Macaca fascicularis: one gene and its partner. The protein of the gene in region 1 purifies or fractionates together with the protein of each later gene. This does not show direct contact. Links are inferred from orthologs where the notes say so. Each region holds a gene or a part of one and is shown on either strand. Other genes may lie near its edges.

What was found. Proteins that work in one complex are often made in the same cells at the same time.
Region 2: the proteins of DVL2 (region 1) and DACT1 purify together in Homo sapiens (affinity purification with western blotting; 3 studies listed by BioGRID and IntAct, with this or other methods). This does not show direct contact. The link is inferred for Macaca fascicularis from reciprocal best matches to the Homo sapiens genes DVL2 and DACT1.

Annotation. Positions count from the first base shown.
Region 1 is NC_088390.1:7,280,939-7,285,261, forward strand, and holds the start of DVL2 (segment polarity protein dishevelled homolog DVL-2), read right to left. Parts: upstream 2,944-4,323; 5' UTR 2,689-2,943; coding exon 2,495-2,688; intron 1-2,494. Other genes in the region: PHF23 (PHD finger protein 23), read right to left, coding at 4,054-4,268.
Region 2 is NC_088381.1:126,474,465-126,478,112, reverse strand, and holds part of DACT1 (dapper homolog 1), read right to left. Parts: coding exon 3,630-3,648; intron 2,884-3,629; coding exon 2,728-2,883; intron 1-2,727.

The DNA.
Region 1 (4,323 bases):
CACCTGTAATCCCAGCACTTTGAGAGGCCAAAGTGGGTGGATTACCTGAGGCCAGGAGCTGGCCAACATGATGAAACCCTGTCTCTCCTAAAAATACAAAAATGAGCCGGGCACGGTGGTGCACACTATAATCCCAACTACTCCGGAAGCCGAAGTAGGAGAATCGCTTGAACTCAGGAGGCGGAGGTTGCAGTGAGCCGAGATTGCGCCACTGCACTCCAGCCTGGGCGACAGAGTGAGATTCCACCTCAAACAAACAAAAAACAACAAAAAACAAAACCACCCACCATTAGATCAAACAAACAATGGAAGCTCCTCATTAGACTGAAAGCTCCCAAGGAGAGAGCAAGCTGGCGCTCCCATTCCCCTGTGCCTCATCTGGCACAAAATTCGGCACGAAGCAATCTGCTCAGCCTGACAGATCCCAAAGCCCAGCCTTGGGGTCATCTCTCCAATGGGTTCCCTGTGGTGGACTGGACTTGCCCCTTCTTCTTGACCACGACATCAAACCATGAACACTTACTCTGATCAACACCATGTCCTGGCCACACACCACACACTGACACTTAGGCATTAACAAATACTGTCAACTAAATGAATAAACATATAAAGCATCAGACTCTCTGCCCTGGTTGTTTCTCTCTCTCTTTCCACACACACCCTTGCCGCCAAATTAGGACACCTTGTCTAATTAACCCATTAGCCTAATATGGTCATAAGAGCCAGGATATATATCAACTTAATCCATTTGCTGTCAATGTGACAACACAGCCCAGTCACTACCAATCTGTCTCAGCATCATGTAGGATTCTTCCCAACATAACACAATCTCAGCATAGCTCAGTCCACTCTTAAGACAAATTACTGTGTATCACCATAACCTTTATAGAGTAGTCAGCCTCAATACTAATGACAATTACCATTCACCAAGAATTCACCATGTACCACACACCTGAACTAACCATTTCATTCTGTGATTTTCTCCATGTCACAGACGAGATCAAGACACAAAATTTAAATTAATTGTCCAAGATTGCACTGCTGACAACTAGAAGAACCTTGACTTAAAGCCAAGATAACTCCCAAGATAGTATCACCCTTCCCATGTCAAACAATCTTTCTAGCTAGAGTCCAGTTTGTTCAGTTCTTCTAAAACCCATGCTATCTCAACTTAATCCAGCCTGCCTTCAAAAAAGCAGAGGTTGGGCTGGGCGCAGTGGCTCACGCCTGTAATCCCATCACTTTGGGAGGCCGAGGCGGTCCGATCATGAGGTCAGTAGATCGAGACCATCCTGGCTAACACGGTGAAACTCCGTCTCTACTAAAAAATACAAAAAATTAGCCAGGTGTGGTGGTGGGTGCCTGTAGTCCCAGCTAGTGGGGAGGCTGAGGCAGGAGAATGGCGTGAACCCGGGAGGCGGAGCTTGCAGTGAACCGAGAATCAGCCACTGCACTCCAGCCTGGGCGACAGAGCGAGACTCTTGTCTTTAAAAAAAAAAAAAAAAAAAAAAAGCAGAGGTTGAGGACCCAGAGAGGGCTCAGCCCCAAAGACCATAAACACAAAAGGGCTTTCTCTGCATTATTTACATGCCAATCTAGTCCAAGATAGCCCTGAATGTCCAAATTACCCTAGGATAGCCCAATCTATTCTAGCACAGCCTACAATGTCCCCACACGCAGCTGTCTGCACCAATATAGACTAGAATACCCCAATACAGCTACCTGTACTAGCATGGGCACCAACAGCCTTGTCTGCCCCCATACTGAGTGCTCCAATAAAACCATGTCTTGCCCCAAGATAAACCAGGATTAACCAATACAGCCCAGTAGAGTCCATAATGGCCCAAGTTTGTTTTGTTTTGTTTTTTGGTGTTTTTTTTTTTTTGGAGATGGAGTCTTGCACTGTCGTCCAGGCTGGAGTGCAGTGGCGCGATCTCGGCTCACTGCAACCTCCGCCTCCCAGGTTCAAGCGATTCTCCCTGCTTCAGCCTCCCAAGTAGCTGGGACTACAGGCGCCCGCCACCACGCCCGGCTAATTTTTTTGTATTTTTAGTTAGTACAGATGGGGCTTCACCGTGTTAGCCAGGATAGTCTCGATCTCCTGACTTCGTGATCCGCCCGCCTCGGCCTCCCAAAGTGCTGAGATTACAGGCGTTACAGGACTCCTGAGAACGTACTAAACGACCAGACGATAGATGAATTTACTCAGTACAGTCTAAAACACTCCAAAATAAACCAGTATGCCTCCACCTATTCCAGTAGAGCCTAATCGTCTCTAATCTGGTTTAGGATATCCTAGTCTGCCCGTGTGCCTCAATCTATCCAAGCATAACCTTGTCCATCCTGGGAGAGTCAACCTACCTCAGCATGGTACAATCTGCTCCACCACAGGCCAGAAAATCCTAGTGTGGCCCGAAGTAGATGTGTGCCCCTCCACGTCGCCCAATCCACTCTAGCAAAGCCCCCGTCGGTCCTATCTAGGCCTTGCGCTCACCCGAAATCCTGATCCATAGACTTGAAAAAGTACTTGGCGCCCGCGGGCCGCTGCAGGACGCTCTTGAAATCGCCGAGGGTGATGCGCTCGGCGGGGACAGGGATCTTCACCAGGTATGGAGTCTCTTCCTCATCCAGGTGGTAAATCACCTTCGTCTCCCCAACCCCACCGCCCCCAGCGCTGCTGCCCGCCATGGTCTCGCCCGCGCGCTCCCGGGCTCCACCGCCCACCCAAGGGGCTAATGGCCCCTGCCGCGCCTGCGCACACCCGCAAACCGACGAGCGAGCGCGGACAGGACGGACCCAGTACTGGAGAGAAGCAAAGGGAAAAAAGCAGGGGTCGGCAAGGGTGGCGGCGGGGGGCGGGCCGCGAGGTGCGACTCAAAGCCGCGGTCTCAGCGGCCGCCGCGCGCCACCGCCACCGACAACGCGAGCGTCCTCCAGGTCCCCGCCCACCTCTCCTCATGTCACGTGACCTAAGCCCGCCCACCCCGCGCTCTTCAGCCGCCCCCGTCACGTGACCCCTCCCAGTCACGTGACCGCGTGACTCCTCCTAGTGCCCCCGCCACGTGATCGCTGCCTTCGGCAACGGTCTCCCAGCCCCCAAAGGTGTACCCCAGCCGAGGTCCTCGGAGCACCCAGGATAAGCTGGCCTGTGCCCTCAGGAAGCGGACAGTCGGCTCCCACCCGGCTTTACCCCACACCGGCGGGAGCGCGAAGCAACTCTGACCCTCAGGAGTGTGCGTGCAGGGAGTGAAGGTGGGGATTGTGGGGGTTCCTAGACTCGAGTGGGGAGGGCCAAATACAATGAAAGCTCTGAGGTGGCTTACTCAAGTATCTTGGGGTGGGAGAGGCCCAGTGCTGTGCCATCTTCAGACTGGACTGTGAGAGGTGGCTTTCAGCACCACGTCCAGCTAGTCTTCAGCCACCAAAGCCTCCCTCCCAAGCAGGACAGTGAGGGCTATAAACACAAAAGAGCCCACTCTGCTTTATTTACAACACGCAGGCTGTCTGTACAAACAGCGGCCAATATTATTAAAAACAAAAGAGGTGAGTGAGAATCGTCACCTTTCTGCTTTCCTTCCTTGCTTGGCCAGGCTCTAGTACTCCACCTTTGAGCTGCCATGCCCAGTAGGGGAAGTCCAAAATTAAAAATACAACCGGTGTAGAAGAAAATAAATGGGGAGTGAAATAGAAGAAAAGATGAGGGAGGGGAGTGCTAATATTTACACTAGAGTTTTATAGACAACTGTCCCATTCCATCCCAATTCCAATCCTGACCCAGAAAGTGATGGTGGCAGGTCCAAGAGACAGAGATTATGTGTCTAGAGACACAGACAGCCTCCCACCCGCAACCGTAATGGGTTCAATTTCAAGTTCAGAGTGGGGAGGACGGATAGGGTAGGCAAGTGAGACACTCATTTTCAAACAAGTCTCCCTTGGGAATTCCTGCCTTGAAGTGCGGACAGTATCCAAGCTCCAGGGGGTAGGCTGAGGACCCTGAGGCTCAGTTCCCAAATCATGTTATCATTTGGAAGTTCCAGGCTAAAGTTGGTGCCGTCAGGGCTCTCCAGATTTGGGAGGCCCCCCTAACCGCCGGGCCTCTGGCCTCAGTTCCTTGCATTTCTGGCAATAAAAGAAGTCAGGGACGTTGGTCTTCTTAATCTTAGCACAGGAGAGGTGGATCCACGTCCCACACAGGCTGCACTCAATCATGGGCCGCCCTGCAAAGGGCTTTCGACAGTAACACGTGATCAGATCCCATGAGTCATCACCTGGGGAAAAAAGGTTTGTTTGGTATTCTGCCTGAGCAGTTGTTGGATCCACAAC
Region 2 (3,648 bases), on another chromosome or scaffold:
AAAAATAAAACAGGGGCCAGGTATGATGGCTTATGCCTGCAATCCTGACTCTGGAAGGCTGAGGCCAGAGGATTGCTTAGGCCCAGGAGTCCAAGACCAGCCTGGACAACATAGTGAGACCCCATCTCTCTAAAAACAAATTTCAATTTAAAACTTTTTTTTTAATATGATAAAGAATTCTTGATTTAAGATTTTAAAAGATTGAGTGGTAATATTAATGGATAAATTTCCCCATCTTGAAAATGTAGATGCCAAAGTACAACAAAATCAAGCTTGCTGTCTTAAATGATTTTGATCTCTTAAGTTGGCGAATATTATAAATAACAAATCCTTTTAATGACCTTCAGTTATCAGAGAAAATTAAAATTGAGTTTATCAGTAATAATTTGTCCTCCATTATATTTATTCATTCAAATACTGAGAATCTACATGTGCCTGATTCTATGTTGAGAAAGCTCCATGAACTTCAATGATAATTAGCAGTCTGAGGGAAAAAATAGTCTAGACCCAGAGATGATATGTAAAGAAAATATAATAAAACAAAAGTGCCATGTCCCCACCCACATGACCCTCCCCTCAATAAATAGCTTTTTCTAAAAGGAAACATCTAGCTAACATCCTTCCCTATCCTTCCTCCCCCAGCAACCTAAGCCCTATCTCTGCCTTACTTAAAGCCACACTGACAAACACTTCACTATTCATCCCTTTTCCCTCTTTAGAATTGAACAAAACAGATATCCCAGCCCCCAAGGCCTTGTGCAACTGTCTCAATTATGTGAGGATGTGGCATTTGGAAGAGCACAGGTCTGTCTTGAAGGAAAACCTAAACCAAAGTGCCTTTAATGGGTTTATAAAGTTTCCCTCTGAAACCAGATCTGCAGAATGAAGGGGAGTAATTACCAATGAACTTGAGGCCCAGATCCTCTAGATAACACAGTTCTGTGCTTCCCCAAATGATTGCTGCTGACAACACACAGATAGGAAGACACCAGCCAATTAGCTCCCTCAGCTGCTTAGTGTTGTCTGCCTCGCCCGGACTCAAAAATTCAGGCTTATACCCAAGTGGAGAACACAGACAAACCAGGAGAGTGATGACTTGTGCCAGCACCCAGAGCAATTCTAATCTTCATATTTTCTCTTATAAGAATTCACAATATAACAGGACTAAGGAAGAAGTCTTGAGTTCCAGCAGCAACCCTGCCATTCAGCAGATGGAGAACCTCTGACAAATGGCTTATAAGCCAAAATTCCTCTTCTGTTAGATGAGAAGTTTGAAAACAACAATTTCTGAATTCCCTTGGGATGATGGAAAACCATGGACCTGGCAGTTAGGCCTGAGCTTAACTTCTGCCTCTGCCACTCACTATCTATAGAGCCTTAAATAACATATCTAACCTTACTAGGCCTCATTTTTTTAATACATAAAATGGAGCTAACAAGACCTGTACTGTGCAGAACTACTGGGAGGATTCAGTGGAGATAAATGTATACAGAGCATCCAGCACAGTGTGCGACACATACTGGAAATGCAGAAACTCTTCTAGTATAATAGCATGATTCCTTCTGGGGGTCATTGCAAAGATATCCCAAAATAAGGAATAATGGCATGTGGGCACCCACTTACTAAAAGAAAAAACAAGCTGCCATCATGCAGAATATTCTGGAGAACATGAAGGGGCCACTGCATCCTGAAGTGCCAACCAGTTTTTGGCCAGGCTGATGGACATATTTAACTTAATGTGAGTGTTAGATTGATTGATTGAGATGGTGCCTCACTCTGTTGCCCAGGTTGGAGTGCAATGGCAAGATCTCGGCTCACTGCAACCTCCGCCTCCAGGGTTCAAGCGATTCTACTGCCTCAGCCTCTCAAGTAGCTGGGATTACAGGCACATGCTGCCACACCCAGCTGATTTTTGTATTTTTAGTAGAGAAGGTGTTTCACCACGTTGCACAGGCTGGTTTTTTTTTTTTTTTTTTTTTTGAGCCTGAGTCTCTCTCCGTCGCCCAGGCTGGAGTGCAGTGGCACGATCTTGGCTCACTGCAACCTCCACCTCCTGGGTTCAAGCAATTCTCCTCCCTCAGCCTCCCAAGTAGCTGGGACTATAGGCGTGTGCCGCCATGCCTGGCTAATTTTTGTATTTTTAGTGGAGATGGGGTTTTACCATGTTGGCCAGGCTGGTCTTGAACTCCTGACCTCAAGTGATCCCCCACCTCGGCCTCCCAAAATGCTAGGATTATAGGGGTGAGCCACTGTGCCAGGCCAACCCAGGCTGGTCTTGAACTCCTGAACTCAGGTGATCCAACCGCCTTAGCCTCCCAAAGTGCTGGGATTACAGGTGTGAGCCACTGTACCCGGCTGAGTTTTAGCTTTAAATAATTAAAAGAAGAAAACGGTTCCAGAATGAAAGAAAATATAGACAAGTTAACCTAACAGCAAAGGCTCGGAAACAGAGCTCAATACCTACAATATTGGGACAGGATTTCTAGAGATAAACTGTCTTGCTGCTATCAGAATATATAACCAAGTAGCACCCAAAGGGTACTGGAATAGTTCTAGATACTCACCTAAATGAAACTATGAGTTCTAGCTGTAAGTATGGCACTAAATGCTGCAAATTGATGAACCTTCATTTTTCTACCAGTGAAAGGTGCTAGAGCCAAATAACCTTTTAAGGGCCCTTGACACCTTCCAATTAAAAAATTTCTATCAGTGCTAAAAATTCTTACCTGCAGATTTGGGGCAACCATCTGAGAGAGTCAAGGTCGCCTCCAAGGGGCTGCAAAAGCAGGTGCTGGAATGACAACTGGATAAACACTCACTGAACACCGAGTTAGAGGAATTGGAAAGGGATCCTGAAGCCCCATCACTCAGCTCATAAAACCCTACAAATAAAAACACCATTGGAATTAAGATCATGTCAAGGAATAATGCATATTCATGCTTAAAAGGAAAATGAATAATCATTTAGGGAAAGGAGATTTTTATTTGTTTGTTTTTTGGCCAATTTTGGTTCACTGGACTTTAGTGTCCTAATCTTATGGTCTTATTTCAAACAATCCTTAGGAAAAGGCAAAGAGCCATAAGCAGGGGTACATTTCAGAGTTACTCTCACCCTCAAACTGACCTTACTCCTTGACCCCGCCTTTGAAGATGTCCAAGGAAAGAAACTTAGATCTGTCAAGCCTCATCTTTATCATGATTGTTTCAGAAAAATAATAAGAGAAAAATCTATTTAAGGAGCCAATGGTTTAAAAGAAAAAAAAAAAAAAAAACTTTTGAAGTGGTCTCAGGAAGTTGAAGTGTGACTAATTTTCTAGCCCAGTTCTGACTTACTCAAGTTTCAAAGGAGGGCAGCTCTTGCAGAAATTTGAATAGCTTTTATTTTTAAACTCGGGGGGACTCCAGTCACATCGATCTCATTACCAAAAATTTTGTTGTCTGAGTTTATTTCCCTCTTATTCCAATGAAACTGAATGGCAGGCTGCTTTTTTTTTATTTTATTTTTTATCCTCTCTCTGTGCACTGGAAACAAACTCCATTGCCATTTGCAGGTCTGGGAATGTTAACCACAAGGGGCTGAGATATAACTCAAGAGTGCAGAATTCTGTCCTTGTGCTCACTCACTCACCTGAGCTAGGCCGACTGTC